4 linked regions of the Caenorhabditis elegans genome follow. The protein of the gene in region 2 purifies or fractionates together with the protein of the main gene of each other region. This does not show direct contact. Each region holds a gene or a part of one and is shown on either strand. Other genes may lie near its edges. The genes, in order: rpl-13, her-1, prdx-3 and puf-12.

Region 1 (3,403 bases), on a different chromosome or scaffold from region 2:
CGAGCACCTAGACTAGTCTTTCTTCCAATGACTCTCATTAACTAATTGAATACGTGTATTTGTAGAATATTGTGAATGTTCTACGTTGTTTTTAAATATATGTGAATGAATATCTTAATTGAAATTTTAAATATTATTAACTCTCGAAACATTATCAGTGAGTCTAGAATGGGAAGGAGACATTTTTAGAACAAATCGGTCAAAAATAAGAAAACGGATAATTGGATATTTAAGCCAACAGCCACCTATTTCTCAGTGCTACAAATTTTTACCAAAAGCTGAGGATTAATATGCGTTTCTTGAAATTAAACTTTAATATTTTTCAAGTAGCGAATAAAATCACAATGAAAACCTAAACTAATAGTAAGCGACAGAATTTTTAAGATTTACAATCGGAAACTCAAAATCAACTTTCCCGTTCTGATGTTTCACTTTTGACCATAAGTTTTCAAATAAAAACTTAAACTAGACGTATTGTATTTTAGAATATTATTTGCATTTCGTTTGTTCGTTGGTAAGTCACTGTTAACTTTCATAACAAGTTTATGAACAGAGAAAATCAACAATTTACTTATTCTCCTCAGCGGCCTCTCTGGCTCTCTTCTCACGCTTTCCACGGTATTTCTTGTCAGCACGCTCCTTGCGGAGAAGTCTGAAGATCTCGACCTTGCGTTCGGCGTCGGTAACTTGGCGTGGCTCGTCGAAGGTGATGGTGTGGGAAAGTGGAAGGACATCTCCGCGAAGTTGGGCGGCAACCTTGAGCTCCTCAGCCTTAAAAATCAATATTCATATTATGCAGGAATTATTTAACAAACTGTTATCGACTAAGTTCAAAAATACTTTCAAACTTAATTAAATGCAAAAAAAAACTTACAGAGCTGTCTCCCTTCTTTGGTGCGCTAGCCTTCTTCGGGAAGAGGATAAGCTTGGCTTTGTACTCCTTGAGACGATCGGCGTTGGCCTAAAATATTGTATACATTTAATTTTCATGCAAAATAATTTATTACATACCTTAAGTCCCTCGGCGGTCTTGTTGGTTCTTCTCACATCAACGGCGATTCCGATGGTGCGGGCCTGAGCCTGGGAGATTCCGGCGGCCTTGAGCTCTTGAAGAGAGAAACCACGTCCAAGACGAGTCTTGGTGTTGTATCTCTTCTGTGGGCAACGGACGACAGATCTGAAATGAAACTATATTTAATGAAAAGACTAATTCTATCTAACCTGAGAAGTCCAGCAACTGGGCGAGGAGCGATTTCGACAGCCTTAGCTTGACGGTTCTGTCTTCTGCGGAGTTTGCGAGCTGGCTGGTCGAACCAGGTCTTTATGCGCTTGTGCCAGTGCTTGCGGAAATGGGCATTGCCCAACATTTGGTTTCCACGTGGAGCCATTGTACCCTGAAAAAAAGAAGTAAAATTGCGATTTTAGTTCAAACTAATGAAAATTGCGATAGAAATACAGAAAATAACTCAATAACAACGCAAAATTGCGAAAAAAAGCTTAAATAGATATTTTTAAAACAATTTCCGGGAGAAAATTTAAAAAATCAGCATATTGAATCAAAAAAGAAAAGAAAAAATTCAGAAAAATTCTATGGGTTTCTTCTTCACAGTGTTACAACGTTGAATACTCAGCCAACGAATTGGCTGCGGCAGCCAAGCGCTGCGAGACCTGCCTGTGTACTTGTGTCGATTTACGCAGGAACAAAATGTGTGCCTAATTTGTTTCGCAGTCTATAAAATTGAATATTTCCATTTAAAATAGTTAAATCAATAAGAAAGTGGTATTTTCAGTGAACTTAACTTTTCTGAAAATAATTTTTAATATGGTACATAACTTCAAACTACTTTATCATCTCTAAAAACTAGAAAGTGGAATTAATTTAATTCAAAAAATTACTGAAATTATTTGCTTTTGAATTTTAGATTAAAAAAAGTTAAATAAATAAATTTATTAATACAAAGATATTACTGGGAATTATACATTCGAGAATATAGACAAAACGAAAAGAAAAAGAAGTGCATTTATTTGGTCCATAGAGAGATCTTTGATTACTTTCCATGTGTTTTATCGTAGGAATCTTTATTCTTGTAAGCTCCAACATATCCAGTATTTTCTGTTGTATCCGCACGTCCTGATTTTCCTTTTCCTGAAATTACATATTTCTTTCGTGAATTCATTTTCTACAAATACCTTTTCCTTCGGCATCGAATCTTTCTTTATGGGCTCCAGTATACTTTGTGTGATCGGTGAGACGGCTGTAAACGCCGGCCGCATTGGCCTTCGCCGCACCTCCAACACTCGGCGCTTCCAATTTGGCCAATTTCTCTGTGATTGCGTCCAGTTCGTCCTGAATCGGCTTCTTACTTTGTCTCGCGCGATCCTCGGCGACAAATGCCAGCACTTTCTTCGTTTCGTCGAAAGTGGCCTTCTTTTTAGGTCTATAATAAATTTTTTAGTTAATTCGATGCAGACAGTAAAGTTCAACCCACCCAGTAACTTTGCTGAAAGCGATTCCGGTCATTGTCCCGGTGATGGCTTTGTTGTCGAGGACACCAGCATCCTTAAGCCACTTGTCGAAGTTCTTTCCAGTCATTTCGGTGGCGGTAGCAGCTCCGAATTTGGTGAACGCGTCCCATCTAGAAAATTAAAAGGTTTTGATGCGAAATTCTAACTCGAAACTGTGTGAAAAACAATGTTTTGTTAATTTTTTTCTGGTTACCAAAATTGAAATCGGTAAACTACTGGACTTCTTGCAAAGTTTATAATTTAAAATCCAAATAATTTACCTTTTCTTCACATCAGCATCATCCCAGTTGAATCCAGCAGCAGCGGCCATGATTTTCTGAAAAATAAAAGGTGTTTGTATAGTGAAAATAGGAATAACGACCGGAAAAGAATGAGCACTCGATGGCAACCATGGAAACATGGAAATATTCAAAGAGAGTTGAGAAAACTGCGTGAGAGGAGAGCATAAATCAAAAATAGGTGGAGCTCTATCGAGCATAAGAGAATTAAGAGAATCACGTGGCGGCAATATCTGCACTCGATTTCTGACTTTGTTTAGCAATTTGAGGAAGAAGAAGTATAAAAGCCCATGTGTCGGAAGGAATTGGCAGAAGCTGAGTGTGGAGTAGAAAGAGCACAATGGGGCGAGAGCCAAGATTATTATCTATTCATTCTTCGCGCAACGCCAACGTTGTTCCCTAATTGCGCCGTCCGTCAGTTGAAAAGCATAACGAGCCAAAGAGATTCGGACGGTGATTAGTGAAGTTTTGAACTAGCAGGAAACGGGTGAGAAAGTGAAGAGAGATAGGGCAAACGGCGTTCTTTAATGAAATGAGAAAAAAACTTCTCTCTTCCTCTTTTCAATCGCGTATTTCGACCTCTCTTACACCGGATAAAT
Region 2 (7,402 bases):
TTAAAGGCGCATGACTCTTTGAGATTACTCTATTGAAAATTTTTGAAACGTGAGAATTTCTAGTTCGCAAATTCGTAATAAATTTGATTAAAAAATATGTTGAATGTATCTAATTCACAGTTGCAATATTTTTTCTTACTATTATTTTCCATTGTATCTGAAAAATTAACAAGTTTCTCATTTTCATTACTACATAGTCATCGTGAAATTTCAAACACTAAATATATTTTTTCCAAGTAATTTTTGATTCCAATTCTTAATTATATTGATGAACAGATAGTTATTTTTGGGCCAGGAAAATAAAATTCAATGTAGCAATATATATTTGCATCAACGGAGCTCAACACCATTATATATCCTTATTTTCCCTGAATTGCCTTTATTGTGCTCGGTTGTAGCTACACTTGTAGACCCACGTCATCTGTCCACACCGCCTACTCGTTTGATCTTCTTTCCCGCGCATTCGATCTCTAAGTCACTCAATCTCCTATGCTATTTTAGTGAATCACGCACATGCAATAGCATTTGCTCACAATTGCAGACACTCAGTTACTGTGAGACAGGCAATATAATGGCCCTTCGGGATATCGAGTGTTGTCTAGAATGAGGTAAGTTGTGAGAAGATAGGAAGACAACGAAGTAAGATAAAGGAATTGTATTTGACTAAAAAATGAAATATCAATTTGATAAAAATATGTTTTGAAACTGTAAATTAATTTAATACATTGTTTTCTTTGACAGATCTTTGCATGTTCAATCAGTTTCTGATCTGAAACTTTCAGCTGAAAAGTATAGACGAATAAATAGTCAAATTTAAGTAAATTGATAATCTTAGATAGACCTAAAAAAGTAAAGTGAACCAATTCACGATTCGGTACGTTTCTGCCATAGAATACAACTCATTTCTTAAAATGATATAGAACAATACTTTAAAGAGTTATTCTAAAGAGTTCTAAGAGTTATTAAGAGATATTACTCTAAAGAGTTACTAAAGAGTATTCAATCTGAACCTTAAAGGAACATTAAAACTGAAGAAGATTATTTTGTTATTCGTTCTATCATTACTACAATCTTGCTCTTTTGATCTCTTGTCTCATGAGTATTTTGGTAGTTCAATCTGACAATTAACAAATTGTTATGCAGGATATTCGCAAATTTGGCAATCCTTATCATATCAATTACCGTCAAAGGTGGAACATACCATGTTTGAAACGAAATGAAGTCAATTGGAACATATAGAACGGTTACAGTATGCTCGATAAAGTATAATTTGATAAACTTTATTTTGTAAAACTATTGTATCAATCATCTACGGCATTAATCCTCAACCTTGAAAATAGATATGAAAGTAAAGTTGACAAGGCACAAAATTGGAACATAGTGATCGAAAATAAAGATATCTATTAATTGGAAATTGTTCGGCGAGGGGCTCTTCGAAACATTTACTGGGGTTTTATGAAAGTTTCTTCTAAAAAACATAATTTAAGATTGAGAGGTGCTCTCAATCAATTCAATATTTTCAAAGAAATAATCATATTCTGTGAAATCAACACTTAAATTATACATTTTTTCATATCTTTTAAAAAATGGAGTTGTATTTACAGGATTTAATGAGATTGTTGAGAGTGACGTCACTGACGAGCAGATATGTTTCAAACATGAACTAATTAGTTTCTAGTATAGTTTTGCCTAGTTTCTTATATATTAAGCAGAAACAACGGACCAGTTCTTCAGCTTCTGAGAGTAGATTATATCTTAGGAGCATACATGAGCACTGTATGTACCTTCTTTGTCTAACTTTCTTTGAGTATCTAAGTCTCTTCAGGTTCTATATCCATCATTCAACCAAATGACACTGCAGGGATGCCTATCTCCTGACTGAACCCACCAGTCGTCTCTTGCTCATATTCCTCCTACCTTCTGCTTCTATTTTCTCAGCGCATCTTGTCCACCTACAGTAGTAAATCTCCTCCCTTTCCTTACGTTGCATTATGAGATATCTCCCAATTTTTGTGTTTCTCGGATCATTTGGCTATACGGAAACTACATTAACAAAGGAACTTATCAAAGATGCAGCTGAGAAATGCTGTACAAGAAACCGTCAAGAATGTTGCATTGAAATTATGAAATTTGGGTGAACCGCTTTTACGAGCACGAACAATGCGATAATCGGTATAATTTAGAACCCCAATTCGATGTGGTTATGACAGGGATCCGAAGCTACCCGGATATGTCTACAAATGTCTTCAAAATGTGTTGTTTGCAAAAGAACCAAAGAAAAAGATTAACTTGGATGGTGAGCGTTTTTTTTTCAGGTAAAATTCTCCTCACAAGCCAAGATATCAAGTTTTGTTTATTCTTAAGAAATATAGGAAATGACTAATACGGTATGTACAAGTTAGTTTTAACTTGAGGAAAATCGAGAAACCGGTGGCATAGCGCCCGCCCGTGAGGTCATTGATTGGCCGGAGGCAGAAAGACCACACGCATTGAAAAGTCACAATATCTTTTCTGCCTCTTTCATTCGTATACTCTTTGGAAATTTTCAATAATTTTGAACATTTTTTTTTTAATATTCTTGCCTCAAATTGTTTTGAAAAAAATCAAAGTAAATCATCAGAGGCTTCTCTGATTTCAAAATAATAGTTAGAACGTAAGTAAAGAGAGAGCGTTTGAAATTTTTCATGAGTAAGATTATTATTACTACTTATCTTTAACTATTTGAAATTTAAAAATGGCATGCAATGTATGGGAGAAATATTTGAAGAAAGCGCCCAAGACTTCAAGAATATCTGAATTTGAGGAGTTATATCACAAAAACTGAGCCTGCAACCTATACTAAAAAGTATACCAAAACAAAGATAAAATTAAAGTCTTTGTTTCTGAGTATTTATTATCATTTGAAAAATTATTTAATAACACGTAAAACGTCTTCAAACTAACCCCAATTTAGAATGTTCGCGCTCTCTCTTGCTGAAATCAATTATAACTATGATAGAATGATTATTCGAATAATTCATAAGGGCTATTATTTTTTCACTTTAAATTATAAAACGAATACTTTACCAATTTTGAAACAAAGTTTCTGCCAATGTGAAATTAAACTGGAAATTGAAGTTTCACCGCTAAGTTCGAAAGCAAATGTTGGGCATTTCCATAATCCGAGTTACAGCAGAACGAGATGTTATCATATAGTAAAAAAATTGTTCAAACATTTTTCGATATTTTAGAAATTAGAAAAAATGCAGTACGATGACGTAGACAATGGTAAGAGGAGGAAGATAGTGCGTATGTGTGCGCAGAGAGGTACAAGGCTTCGGGCATTGGGCAGTCGCCACCATACGCTCGATCGATATATTCAAAGTCGGTCAGGCTTTTAACAATTTGAAGCTTACTGATATCAGTAAATTTGTGATAAATGTCAAGGATACCGTGTCTTTGAAGCAACTTAAGCTCTCTATAGTTTCCTGATTTGATTTCACTTCAACATACTACATTTCCAGTTATTGATAACACTTATCAACTAGCATTTAAACATTTTCTCATATCTATAATAATGTTTGATTTCCTGTAAATAGTTTCCTCTTCCATTTCGAATTGTAATATTTCCCTCAATAACATTGGAACCTTGTTCAACTAAATAGGGATCACTTTGACAACACCTAAAGCATCTACAAAAAATTTTTGGTAATGTAACAACCAAGTTTTCTAAAAGAATTTGACATGCTCTATTTGTTAGAAAAACTTTTTGATTATGTTTCAGGCTCAGTTTTTGAGATATTCAACTCTAAAGTTGCAACTTGTTCTAGGTGGTCCGTTCAATTGTCCTAGGGTTGTGCAGGCAATTGGTATTGCGCAGGGAGAATAGACGGACCCTTGTGTCTTGCGTACCACCTGTCATCATGTTTCGAGAGTAGATATTCTTCAAACCCTCAAACTATTTAGAAATATATTTTTTAGCCTCAAAAAGTTACGTTTTTCGTTCAGAATTCTATTAGGGCTACGTTTTAACATAAGTTTTAAAATAGGCTTCTTTATTTGTTTTTGAGATATTCATGGCCAAAAAAAAACTTTACAGTATTGAATTTGGCTCTAATATTTTTCAATACTTGTTCTCTACAATGTTAAAAAAAAATTAATTTCGCCTACTCATTTGATCATTTAATAGATTTATGAAAACATAAAAATTATGATAACAATGTCTTTGAATTCTCTGATAATGTTCATAATTTGTTTTGATCTTTCTCGTGTTATCTCTCCAAGATAAAAGAGTGTTCTACTGCGAGCACTGATACCATATCTTTGCATGTTTATCCTTTTATCAGTTGACTCACTCTTTTGTTAGGTGTATTGATTAGATGGGAGACTCCCCTGCAACAATTGTCCTACAGGAGCAGAGCAGTTGCTTTTTTTCTTTTGACATCTTGCATTTTTCGTTAGAAAGAAAATATTTAAGTGCCGCCGGGAGCAATCTGTTTTATTTACAAATATATCAGAATGCACGGCATCAGCTAATAAATATTGAATAAGTATTTTCTTGTTCTCACCCCTGTACAGTTTGCTTTTCTATTCCTCATTACACCTCCCAATCCAGGTGTGCTTGGTCCTTCATCTTATTAGATCTGCCATACGGTATAGGAATTACGATCTACAGTCGTCATAAAAGAGTCCGCAATACCGTCATGTGTGTCGAGTTGCAACAAAAGAGTATATGGGAAATGAGAGACTACGGTAAATGAGAGATACCGTAGACGAGATATAATGTAAGAGAGTGGTAGATCAAATGAGATGAAAAACGCGTCGATTAGGTCCATCCAGGAGAAACTAGATTGCGTAGAGCAAACATAGCTGTTTTGACGGGAACAATGTTTTTTGAGACTACAAATATCATAGCTTCAGCTACATCTGAGGTTTTCAAATTTTTCTCGAATAGCTGATAAAGTGAAACTTCATAATGAAGGTAGATATCAGTGCTCAAATAATGTATACCGTATTCCCCGTTATTGTATTAGACCTTATTGTTCAATTTTACCAGCTTATATTTTAGTTAGCGTTTGTTCTATTCAAATATTGCCAATTGAGAAACTATTATTTCTTTTTCAATTGCTTGCAGTTAAAATTTATTGATATCTTTAAAATGAGTTGATAGTGAGATATAAAGCTTTCAATTAAAATAATGTGGTGCAATACTATTAGAGAAAATACAGTAATCTTACTAAACTAAATGCACGCGTGATTAAATCCAAAAAGTACAGAACTTAATTGGTTTATTTAGGTGCGTTCCCCTGAGCAGAAATTGTCTTAATATAAATTAATTTGAAAATCTGAAATTCGAGAAATTTCTACTTTCTGTAAAGTTGTGAATATTCACTAATTTTATTGATAATATGAGGTTTATAGAAAAACTTACAAATGCATTTGACTCACAGAATTGCTATAATTTTACGATTTCCCAGAAGAGACTTTCCCAAAAGAAATCGTTATTTTTGAGGGACAAATTGTCTTAATTATCGATCTATTATTTGCCTCTTCACACGTAAAACATGCCAACACCTGTCTCTTTTGACTCCGCCTCTCTGATTGCCCCGCCCATTTGCCCATCCCACGCCCTAATCTCATATTGTCTTTATTCAGACTCCGTGTGCTGCTCCGTGTTTGGCAACGACCAAAACGATTCTGGAAGAAGATGTGAGAATCGTTGCAAGAACCTCATGACCAGCCCTTCCATCGACGCTGCCACACGTCTGGACAGCATCAAAAGTTGCTCGCTTCTGGATAATGTACTGTATAAAGTGAGTTTTTGTTAACACAGAATTTCAGTTCGCCTATTCTAGTTAGACAAACGGGTAAATTGAAAATATTCGGTGCAATCTGTCTTATGGTTTTTTCAGCTCCTGCCTATTTCAGTACGTAGTCCTAATTTTTCCAGTTTTAAAGAAAGGATCCCTAGTTGACCAAAGCCAAGTTTAAAAATATTAAATTATCTCCAACTCTGTAAAAACGGCTGCGATTTGCAGACTTTTTCTTGGTCCAGGCAAACAATTTTGGAGTTCGTCCCATCCATTCCCTCGTCTATAAAATTCATCCTAAAACGGAGAAAATTAAAAAAAAAATTCAATTGGCAAGCGGAAAATCCGATAGTGGATAGATATCACCCCAAAAATTGTTCGCCTAGGTTGAGATACATTTTTGGAGCAGTGCGTCAGTCCAGGAACCACGTTTTTCAAAGATATCTCATTCGATATTCTAATCGTTCAATTCGAGTTAATCAAGTGTGTCATAAAACAAATTTATTTTTCAGTGTTTTGAGAAATGCCGGAGCCTCCGTAAAGATGGTATCAAAATTGAAGTGCTCCAATTCGAAGAATACTGCAATGCAACGTTTATCCAAAAGCGAACTTTCCGAGGAGTCTGAATCTGGGCTCATTAGCCTAAAACATCCCTAATCCGCCGTTGTCATTATGGCACTCTCCATCATGAGTGGTCCAATTTTTTCTTTTCTTTCTAAACCTTTTTATTTTATTTTTTGTAACACCTCTATGTCTACCTCTTAATCAAAGCTTTGAGCTTTACTCACTTTGAGTTATATTTTTAATCTTGTGTTCTCCTTATGTTGAAGAAAATTTTCGATACGCAACTTGTCATATTGTTGTATATATTTTTAATAGAATTTTTTGAAATGTCCTATTCTTATTGATTTCTTCTTAACATTCTCTTCAAGAATGTTTTCGGATGCGCTCAGATGTCATGAAGGCGCACTACGGTGCGGTCCTGATTTTATTTATTTTTTTTTTCATAAAAAATATATCTTCTCTTGTTGGTTTCTCCTAAAGTTGTCAAATATGAATATTCAAGTACTTTCTACGATCTTTTTTATTGAATAAATTGTTTTATCAACGCACAGAACCCATACGACATAATCAACAAAAAATGATAAGAAAGTGATTTTCGAACTACAAATTTTATCAATTTTTTTTCAATTCTCTGCTTTCTAACAAATTCTAAATTTTATTTGTAATTTTAGTTATTCAAACTGCAAAACGAGCAAAACTTTATTTCTTATCCGTTTTGAAAGATTAATAAACTAAATGTAATGTTGTTTCTCATATTCTGCTTGTTATTTTAAACTGAATAATGCTTTAGAGCTAGCAAGGAAAAATCAATCAATTCATTCGAAATTGATAAAATGGCCATTAAGGTTTTTTTTTAAATTTTATGTGTTAACACATGTGTTGGGTTTCATCATAAACTTGTACTTGGTGGAATTCAAACTATATAAGTTTAGATTTTTTGTAAATCAACACAAGTTACCAAAACTGTTCAGGCGTGATCCGAGTTTGAAGTATGGATTCTGCTAACTTAAGTTTAGAATACAATATAAGAATAAAGTTAAGAAAACAAT
Region 3 (3,090 bases), on a different chromosome or scaffold from region 2:
GTAAATTTGATATGAAATAATGAATTTTTGCAAACCAATGCTATTCAGAACATCATCTGAAGTCGAATCTTGGGGTCCATTCCTCGAAACTTTAACCGACGCTGAAATCGAAAAGAAGATGCGTGATCAAGACAGAAACACGAGAAGAATGCGTCGTCTTGTTGGCGGTGGATTCAACTATTGAAGTATCTACTGATCTCTACGAAATCAACCTGTATTTAACGAATTTTAACCATTTTATCTCAATATTTTTAATGTGCACTTTCTTTTAATTTATTCTTTCCTCGATCTTTTCTCTACATTTTCTCGTGTAAACTGCTCTTTCCAATAGGAACTTGTGGCGGTTTTCAAACTGAATGATCTAACTGAAAATATAAATAAATAAAATTTCAGAGCCCGATCGTCTCAATCGCTTGAAGAGAAAAATGAGCGACAACGAAGTAGAGATGGAGGATGTGGTGGCCAACGCCGAGAGATCAAGAGGTCGAGGACTTGCGCAGGTAAATTTTGTCGAATTTTGTAATCAATAATCAATAATATATTTTTCTAGAGTCGCAATCGCGAGAGGATCACCTACGACGTGGTCGATGAAGAGTCGTCTGCCACAAGCGGAGCACCACAAAGATCCGTTGAAGGATGGATTGTCTTCGTGACAAACATTCACGAAGAGGCAACAGAAGATGATGTTCATGACAAGTTTTCCGAGTACGGAAAAATTAAGAACATTCATTTGAATCTCGACAGACGAACCGGTTTTTTGAAGGGATACGCACTGGTGGAGTACGAAACGCAGAAGGTAATATTTTAGCAGTCGTCGTTTCTATCGAAATCATTTACTATATATAAAGCGCTTATTCTGTGTGTCCATAGTTTGTAGTCTATGTAGTCTTTGTAGTCTGTGAAGTTTTGGCTTCTGTGGGGATAGTGAGTTGGGGTTAGTGTAGGGATATAGTCGGGGTACTGTAGTGGTACAATAGTGGTACGGTAGGAATACTGTAGGGTTACGGTAGTTTCAGAAAAATTAGTTTTCAGCCCCAGAAGTGGGGGGCCGCGCCGGAGGTGCGGTCCACGGCTGGTATCAATATAAATTATTTATTTTCCAGGAAGCCAACGAAGCTATTGATCAGAGCAACGATACAGATCTTCTCGGCCAGAATGTCAAAGTCGATTGGTGCTTCGTCAAGGGAAAGAAGACTTCTGGAAAGCGCTGAAAACCACGTACTTAATTGTCCTCTCCAATCCACGTTTTATGTTTTTTTACACGTCACTGTTAAGTTTTTCCTTTTCTATTTATTTTTTGTCCTCTTTCCCAATTTACCATTCGAAATTTTAAATATCTATTTGGTCTCAACTCGCTCGCTCTTCTCAATTTTGCGATTTTTGTTATCTATGTGACACATGCAATAACAGTGAATAAAATGACCATTTTTCAATTATCTGCTGTTGCTATTTTCTTTTTATCGTTAACCAGTTTGGAACGATTTGATATCTTCAATTGTTTCGTAGATCAAATTCTGGAAAAAAAGATTTCTGAATATCTGAGTTTTGCAGATGTTTTCTTCTGCTGTTCGAGCTCTTTGCCGCACGGTTCCTACTGTTGCCACCCGCCAGTTGAGCACATCTCGTGCTCTTTTGTCACTTCGTCCACTTGGACCAAAAAATACTGTCCCAGCTTTCAAAGGAACTGCTGTCGTTGATGGAGACTTCAAGGTTAAAAATAACAAATATATATATTTTTTTCAAAAATTAATTCCAGGTGATTTCTGATCAAGACTACAAAGGAAAATGGCTCGTCATGTTCTTCTATCCACTTGACTTCACCTTTGTATGCCCAACTGAAATCATCGCATACGGAGATCGTGCAAACGAGTTCCGTTCTCTTGGAGCTGAAGTTGTCGCGTGCTCGTGTGATTCTCACTTCTCTCACTTGGCCTGGGTTAACACTCCACGCAAGGACGGAGGACTCGGTGATATGGACATCCCTTTGCTCGCTGATTTCAACAAGAAGATCGCCGACTCGTTCGGTGTGCTCGACAAGGAATCCGGACTCTCATACCGTGGACTTTTCCTCATTGATCCATCTGGAACTGTCCGTCACACTACTTGTAACGATCTTCCAGTTGGAAGATCTGTTGATGAGACTTTGAGAGTGCTCAAGGCATTCCAATTCTCTGATAAGCACGGAGAGGTGAATTTTGAAATTTACAAAAAATTTAATTTCTAGCAAAAAAAATGCAATGTTTTTTTTCCGAAACTTTGGCCCGCCATAAAAATATTTAAATTTTTGTTGAAAAGGAAATCGGTCGTTTCGGGCTAGTTTTAGTCCATTAAAACAAATTTCGACGAATAAAAAATTAATTTTTCAGGTTTGCCCAGCTGATTGGCATGAGGATTCTCCAACCATCAAGCCAGGAGTCGCTACCAGCAAGGAATACTTCAACAAGGTCAACAAGTGATCACACAGAAACAGAACAATTATTTTTATTCTTTGTATTTATCATATTGATGATTTAGTTTGTCGGTTTAAATAAATAGGTGTCATTCAGCTCGAGTTTTTTGAAATTAATTTTGGAAAATATACGGTTTCAGAAAAATCCATTAAAATATTGATTTTTGTTTCCTAAAAAGTTTTGGAAAAAAATGTGAATTTCATTTCAGATTTTTCTAAATAAATGAACAGGAAAAAATTAGCAGCATATGGTCAGGAATTCGAAGATGATGACGAAGAAGGTCTGCAATTTTACAGTTTTCAGGAAAAAAATAAATAATTTCAGGAAGCTCTGTATCAAAAAAGCCAACTCAAATCCACGAAGAGATAGCAACAGATGAAAAAGGAAAACGGAGATTCCATGGAGCCTTCACTGGAGGATTTTCAGCTGGTTATTGGAATACAGTTGGATCAAAGCAAGGATGGGTTCCTCAAGTGTTCTCATCATCTCGGAATGAACGTGGAGAACAAATAAAACAAAGAGCTGAAGATTTTATGGATGCAGAAGATCTTGGAGAATATGGAATAGGGAATCGATCGATAAAACAGACTGCGGCATTTGGTGAAGGAGCTGGACAGAAAAGGAAAATGGCTTGGGAACG
Region 4 (5,089 bases), on a different chromosome or scaffold from region 2:
GAAGTGAGAAAGTTCATCGAAAACCACAGCACTCGAATTTCGTCCCGATCGTAAGTCTATTATTTAGTTATTCTACAATTTCTTCAATTTACAGAAACATTCTTCGTTATAATTGCGACTTTTTAGAAATCATTGACAGAACTGAAGATCTTACGATTTATTCTGAAGGATTGCGTGAGTTTTTCGATAATTGTTGCGTCATCTGAAAACTGAAAGATTAAGGCTTAATAATGATAGTTGATCTGCTCGATGGTGATCGTGATCGATACTTTGTCGCTCTGGAGCAGTTGGAAGAAGCTGTAGCATATGAAAAAATAATTGTTGGTCTGAAAAGCTATTCTCGTGGACATGGCGAAGCTGCATCGAATTTTCTCACTAAGCTGGCGGATCTCCATAACAAAATGCCAAAAATCACCGTTGTCGTAAATGTCGACCGAAGCGAGGATATCGAGAAAATTGTTAATGAATCAATAATCTAAAATTATAATTGCACACTGTTATTATGATCTCAATTCTGTGTTTTTACAACGTTTTTTTTATATTTTTCCTTTTTATTACCGTACGGTGTTTCAAAAAATTAACGAGATGCAAAAAGTAATAAAAAAAAAGTCAACAACAAAATAACGAGAACAATAAAAAGGTGTGGTATTTAGAGATGTATAGGACGAATCCCTCAAAACAAATAAAATCAACAAAAATTAATTCGTATACCTTGCATTCTCACTTCTTGACATTTCCGTCGAGCTGTGCCTTCAGAAGATTTGCTCCTTTTGAGTTATAGCCATCCAAGTGTTTTCTGCTGATCGAAGCCTTCAATTTTTCAATAACTTTCGGTCCTCCAACTTGAAGCATTTTCAAGAGAACATGGCAACCGCGATTGCAAGTCACCCACGAGCCAAGCTGCTTGCTCGTAAGTCCTTCTGCCAATGCAACTGACAAACGTTCATCTTCTTGTAGAGCGGCATCACAGCGCATGACTGCCATGAGAATGAAATTGCCCGATTGGTGTTCAATAATGTGGAAGCCTTCCTGGTCCATTGGTACAAAGTCCTTCTTCGCCAATTCAACGATCGCTTGGTTGCAACTCTTGCGAGCTTCTGCTGGGACTTGTCGATCGAACAAATCGAAGCTTGCTGAAAAAAACTCGAATTCTTTATAATTGTGCAACTTTTAAACTTACAGGTGGTTTCGAGACATGCAGCCACGAATTTTGACTTGTTGGCCTCGAAAACAAGCTCTTCGAAGTTAGCAGCCAAATAAGGATACAAGTTCTCGGTAATACCGGCGTACAACTGTCCATATCTATCCTTTTGAGTTTTCTTCGAGTGTGGATTGCTATCACCTTCGGCAAGGAATGTAATTTCTCTTTTGTCGATTCCTCTTCCATCTCTTGGATGCACCAAATAGTGGATAACTTTCTCTCCCCAATCATCTTCGATCAACTTCTTCATTTCATTTGCCAACTCGGAGACAATAACCTTATTGAGAAGAACAGTATCGTCGACAGTATCAAAAAGTGCAAGAAGAACACGATGTCCGTAATGTTCCATTGCGGCTTTTACTGACAAATCCTTGAAATTCTTGACGATCAATTTTCTTTCCTTGACTGGAGCAAACCAAATGAGTTTAATAGCCAATTTGGCACCATCTGGAGTATGAATGAACTCGGGAATTTTATCTTTCAGTGAATCAAGGAGATTGATTTTCTTTTCCTCGTCGCAATTATCGAAAAAGTCGAGCATAAGTTTGTGCAGAATTGAAAGTCGCAAAGTTTCTTTTTCATTCACTGCTCCAATAACCTCGTCCAAATGCTTCAAAATCACAACCTTCTTTTCCGGCTTTTCAGCGAGAATCTCCGTCAGAGATCTGATATTGTCTTCCTGAAATCAACAAACTATTTTTAGAGCTTAATTGAATGTTGTTTACTCTGAACAAAATGAATTCTTTTCCATAAAATTCAGTAATGATGTTGTAACGCTGATGGGCATTAGCGAAGTCATTGTAAGCATATTCAAGAACTTCGGCAGCATGTTTGATTCTGAGCAGGGTTGGAGCATGTCCGCGGAATGCATTAATGATAATATCACGTTGTTCTTTAGTTCCATTCTTCAACATTTTCTTGACGAAAAATTTGGAATAGACGTTCTTTGACATCCTCACTATTTCTGGGGTTAATTCGTTGAACACTGCAATAATTATGTTCTCGTAATTATTCATGGGAACCTTCAAAAAACTTACAGTTGTTAATGATTCCTTCTCTTTCAGTGGCAACAAGACATTCGATAACTCTGCTGGTGTCGTGAGCATAGATCAGCTTGGCAGCGTGTCCTTTTACAAGACCATACAACTCGTGAACCGCAGTATCCTTTTCAGCTTTTGGCGTCTTTCCCATTCTGATCTTTTCCCAAAGTTCCTTGCATTTTTGAGCACGAGCTCCTTCAGGTTTTCTCTTCAATTTCAACTCCTTCAAAAATGCTTTTCTTTCTTTTCTCGGCATATTCAGCAATTGTTCTTTAACAGACTTTGTGACTTGAATAGCTACTCTCTTTCTCTTTAGAGTTGGAATGTCAATATGAGATTCATCTCCACCTGCTTGTTCGTCGACAGATTCCAAATTTTCATCGTCTGCTGGCTCAGAAGCAACGGCTTTCTCTGCATTAACCTTCACTTTTTTCTTTGGGGGAGCGGAATGCTCTTCTTCTTCTTCCTGAGCAACTTTGACAGTCTTCACTTTGGCAAGTTTCTGAAAAAAAACAATTGTGTAAAAGACGATATATTGAATTAACAAACCTTAACCTTCTTATCAAGAGGGGATCTGAGAATTCCTCTTCCTGGAGATGCCTCTGATGGTTTGATTTGAAGATCCTGAACTCGCTTATCGAAAACCTTAACATGTTCAAGTTCTCCTGAGAAAAGCACTTTTTTCGATTTCTTTTTCGGTGCTGGCTGGCTTCCGAACGAAGACTCCGAGCACAAAGAGTCACGAGTCCCATCATTATCAAAAACTGATGTTGAAGATGACTTTTTCAACCTTTCCAACTCGTCCTTCACAGCTTTGTCTACTTTGCTTTTTAACGCTGCTTTTTCTTCAATCTGAAATATTTCACAAAAAATTATTTACAAAATGAAGTAATTTAACAAACCTTAACAATTCGCTTTCTGTCTACTTTGTTGAGTTTTAATCCTTTTGCCTTTTTCTCCAACACATTTTTAACCTTCTTCTTCCCTTTGAATTTTTTATTTTTGTCGTCGAGTTTCACCATTTTTACCCGCGAGATTTCTCTGAAAGACACGCATATTAAAAGGAGTAATAAACACAAGACAATTTTATGTGAGGTTTAAGCGATTTTTACTTTGGAAACAAATTGCACAGCTTCAAAATAGTAACAAAAAGTTACGAAAAAGTAAAGAAAAATGAAAAGAAAATGTTAAAGGCGCATGTTGTCTTCTGACGTCTCTCAATTTACACACTCTCTTCTTCGTCGTTGCGAGACCTGCCGCAATGTTCGTCTCTCCCGTAAATCGACATTGGAAAATCATCATTTGAAATTTTATTTCCATTTAGCTGCCATTTTCAGATTATCAGCTTTTATTTTCGCAATAATTCTACTATTTTTAACGCATTCAAATAAACGAATTATTAAATATTAAATTTTAACGGTTCTTCTGATTTCCGCAGAAATAAAACACGTACCAGTTGCAATCATATATGTGTTAACATAGTTTTTATTTTGCAGAATGAGTTCAATCGGTACCGGCTACGATCTCGCCGCCTCTACTTTTTCTCCTGATGGCAGAATTTTCCAAGGTTTGTTTCGATTTTGCTTTGTTCAAAATACTCATAATCTCGTTTTCAGTCGAGTACGCTCAAAAGGCTGTCGACAATGCAGGAACAATGATTGCAATTCGTGGCAAGAACGGAGTTGTGGTCGTTGCTGACAAGCTGATCTCTTCCAAACTTTACACTGATGTGAGTAATTTAAGAGATTTTCAAGATTTTATCTATAATTTTCAGAACGCTAATCCAAGAATGTTTAACGTGAACGACAATGTTGGTGTCGCAGTTGCTGGAAACTATCCAGATGGTTTCGCTCTGAAGAACTATGCTTACGGAGAAGCAATGAAGTGGCTCAAAGACTACCGTGAGCCAATGCCGATTCAGAATATTGCTAACTCAGTTGCTGAGTACATTCACATTCACACTCTCGGCATTAGTCGTCCGTTTGGAGCAGGAGCCTTCTTCATGTCATGGAACAAACAAACTGGAGGACGTCTTTTCCTTGTGGAGCCATCAGGTCTAAACTATGAATACAAGGCATGGGCTGTCGGAAAACATCGCCAAGCCGCAAAAGCTGAGATTGAGAAGCTGAAGATCGAGGAGCTGGATGTGAATCAACTCGTGAAGGAAGCTGCTCGAATCATTATGGTGGTGCGTGACGAGAACAAGGATAAAAACGTTCAAATCGAAATGGGATGGGTCGGTGAGCAGACGAACGGAAAGTACGAAGAAGTTCCAAGCGAGGTTGTCACTGCTGCCGAGGAATGGGCTATTGCCAAGCTTGACGAGGACGACATGGACGATTGAATCATTCTCGTGTATTTATTCACATTTTTAATTTATTATCAGCTCTCTTCTTTCTGCCCTGGTAAACTTCTTGCGCTCGGCGAGTCATTTTATTGTACTTCAAACCGACTCACCGACTTCAAGAAGAACTTTTTGCACCCGGATGTTTTTTTTTAACTTTTTCTGTTCATTATTTTTCGGTTTCCCGGTATTACCCATTTTTCTCAATACAAATTCAGACAAACCAGAAACATGTTTATGCACAATTCGCTGGGGGCAGTAGACCCGTCCCAAATTATGGCGCTATGTACAAACAAGGATAACAACAATTTTTTAAGTTATGCGGCAACTGCTTGAACTGCTTCCTCGATCATCACACTTTGACCAGTCTTCTGTTTCTCCAAGCACTCAAATACAGAATCTCGAAGATGTCTGTATGTTCTCGTAAGCTCTCCCATTCCAGTTTTCAATCCATTCGAGACGTAGGCAATCGTGATCCCATCTTCCAAATCCATCATTACTGTG

What was found.
Region 1: the proteins of her-1 (region 2) and rpl-13 fractionate together in Caenorhabditis elegans (co-fractionation; one large-scale study listed by BioGRID). This does not show direct contact.
Region 3: the proteins of her-1 (region 2) and prdx-3 fractionate together in Caenorhabditis elegans (co-fractionation; one large-scale study listed by BioGRID). This does not show direct contact.
Region 4: the proteins of her-1 (region 2) and puf-12 fractionate together in Caenorhabditis elegans (co-fractionation; one large-scale study listed by BioGRID). This does not show direct contact.

Annotation. Positions count from the first base shown.
Region 1 is NC_003279.8:3,786,027-3,789,429, reverse strand, and holds rpl-13 (Large ribosomal subunit protein eL13), read right to left. Parts: upstream 1,395-3,403; 5' UTR 1,389-1,394; coding exon 1,222-1,388; intron 1,178-1,221; coding exon 1,012-1,177; intron 962-1,011; coding exon 875-961; intron 772-874; coding exon 568-771; 3' UTR 534-567; downstream 1-533. Other genes in the region: ptr-2 (SSD domain-containing protein), read left to right, coding at 1-16; tppp-1 (Tubulin polymerization-promoting protein homolog), read right to left, coding at 2,049-2,146, 2,191-2,438, 2,490-2,636, 2,787-2,836. UniProt on the Caenorhabditis elegans protein: Component of the ribosome, a large ribonucleoprotein complex responsible for the synthesis of proteins in the cell.
Region 2 is NC_003283.11:9,695,138-9,702,539, forward strand, and holds her-1 (Protein her-1), read left to right. Parts: upstream 1-1,877; 5' UTR 1,878-1,991; coding exon 1,992-2,134; intron 2,135-2,183; coding exon 2,184-2,296; intron 2,297-5,632; exon of another isoform or gene 5,633-5,634; coding exon 5,635-5,792; intron 5,793-6,301; coding exon 6,302-6,415; 3' UTR 6,416-6,898; downstream 6,899-7,402. UniProt on the Caenorhabditis elegans protein: Dictates male development. Probably plays a direct role in cell signaling during C.elegans sex determination. Inhibits the function of tra-2a.
Region 3 is NC_003281.10:4,405,893-4,408,982, forward strand, and holds prdx-3 (putative peroxiredoxin prdx-3), read left to right. Parts: upstream 1-1,551; coding exon 1,552-1,710; intron 1,711-1,756; coding exon 1,757-2,188; intron 2,189-2,366; coding exon 2,367-2,456; 3' UTR 2,457-2,542; downstream 2,543-3,090. Other genes in the region: snfc-5 (SWI/SNF Subunit INI1 DNA binding domain-containing protein), read left to right, coding at 49-184; RNA-binding protein rnp-4, read left to right, coding at 426-500, 551-796, 1,104-1,211; gpch-1 (G patch domain-containing protein 1 homolog), read left to right, coding at 2,673-2,730, 2,775-3,090. UniProt on the Caenorhabditis elegans protein: Thiol-specific peroxidase that catalyzes the reduction of hydrogen peroxide and organic hydroperoxides to water and alcohols, respectively.
Region 4 is NC_003280.10:10,098,503-10,103,591, reverse strand, and holds puf-12 (Pumilio domain-containing protein 12), read right to left. Parts: upstream 3,283-5,089; 5' UTR 3,264-3,282; coding exon 3,144-3,263; intron 3,094-3,143; coding exon 2,791-3,093; intron 2,744-2,790; coding exon 2,239-2,743; intron 2,187-2,238; coding exon 1,927-2,186; intron 1,881-1,926; coding exon 1,181-1,880; intron 1,134-1,180; coding exon 721-1,133; 3' UTR 531-720; downstream 1-530. Other genes in the region: putative RING finger protein ZK945.4, read left to right, coding at 1-50, 95-174, 223-479; pas-7 (Proteasome subunit alpha type-3), read left to right, coding at 3,739-3,808, 3,858-3,970, 4,016-4,585; lact-2 (Beta-lactamase domain-containing protein 2), read right to left, coding at 4,903-5,089.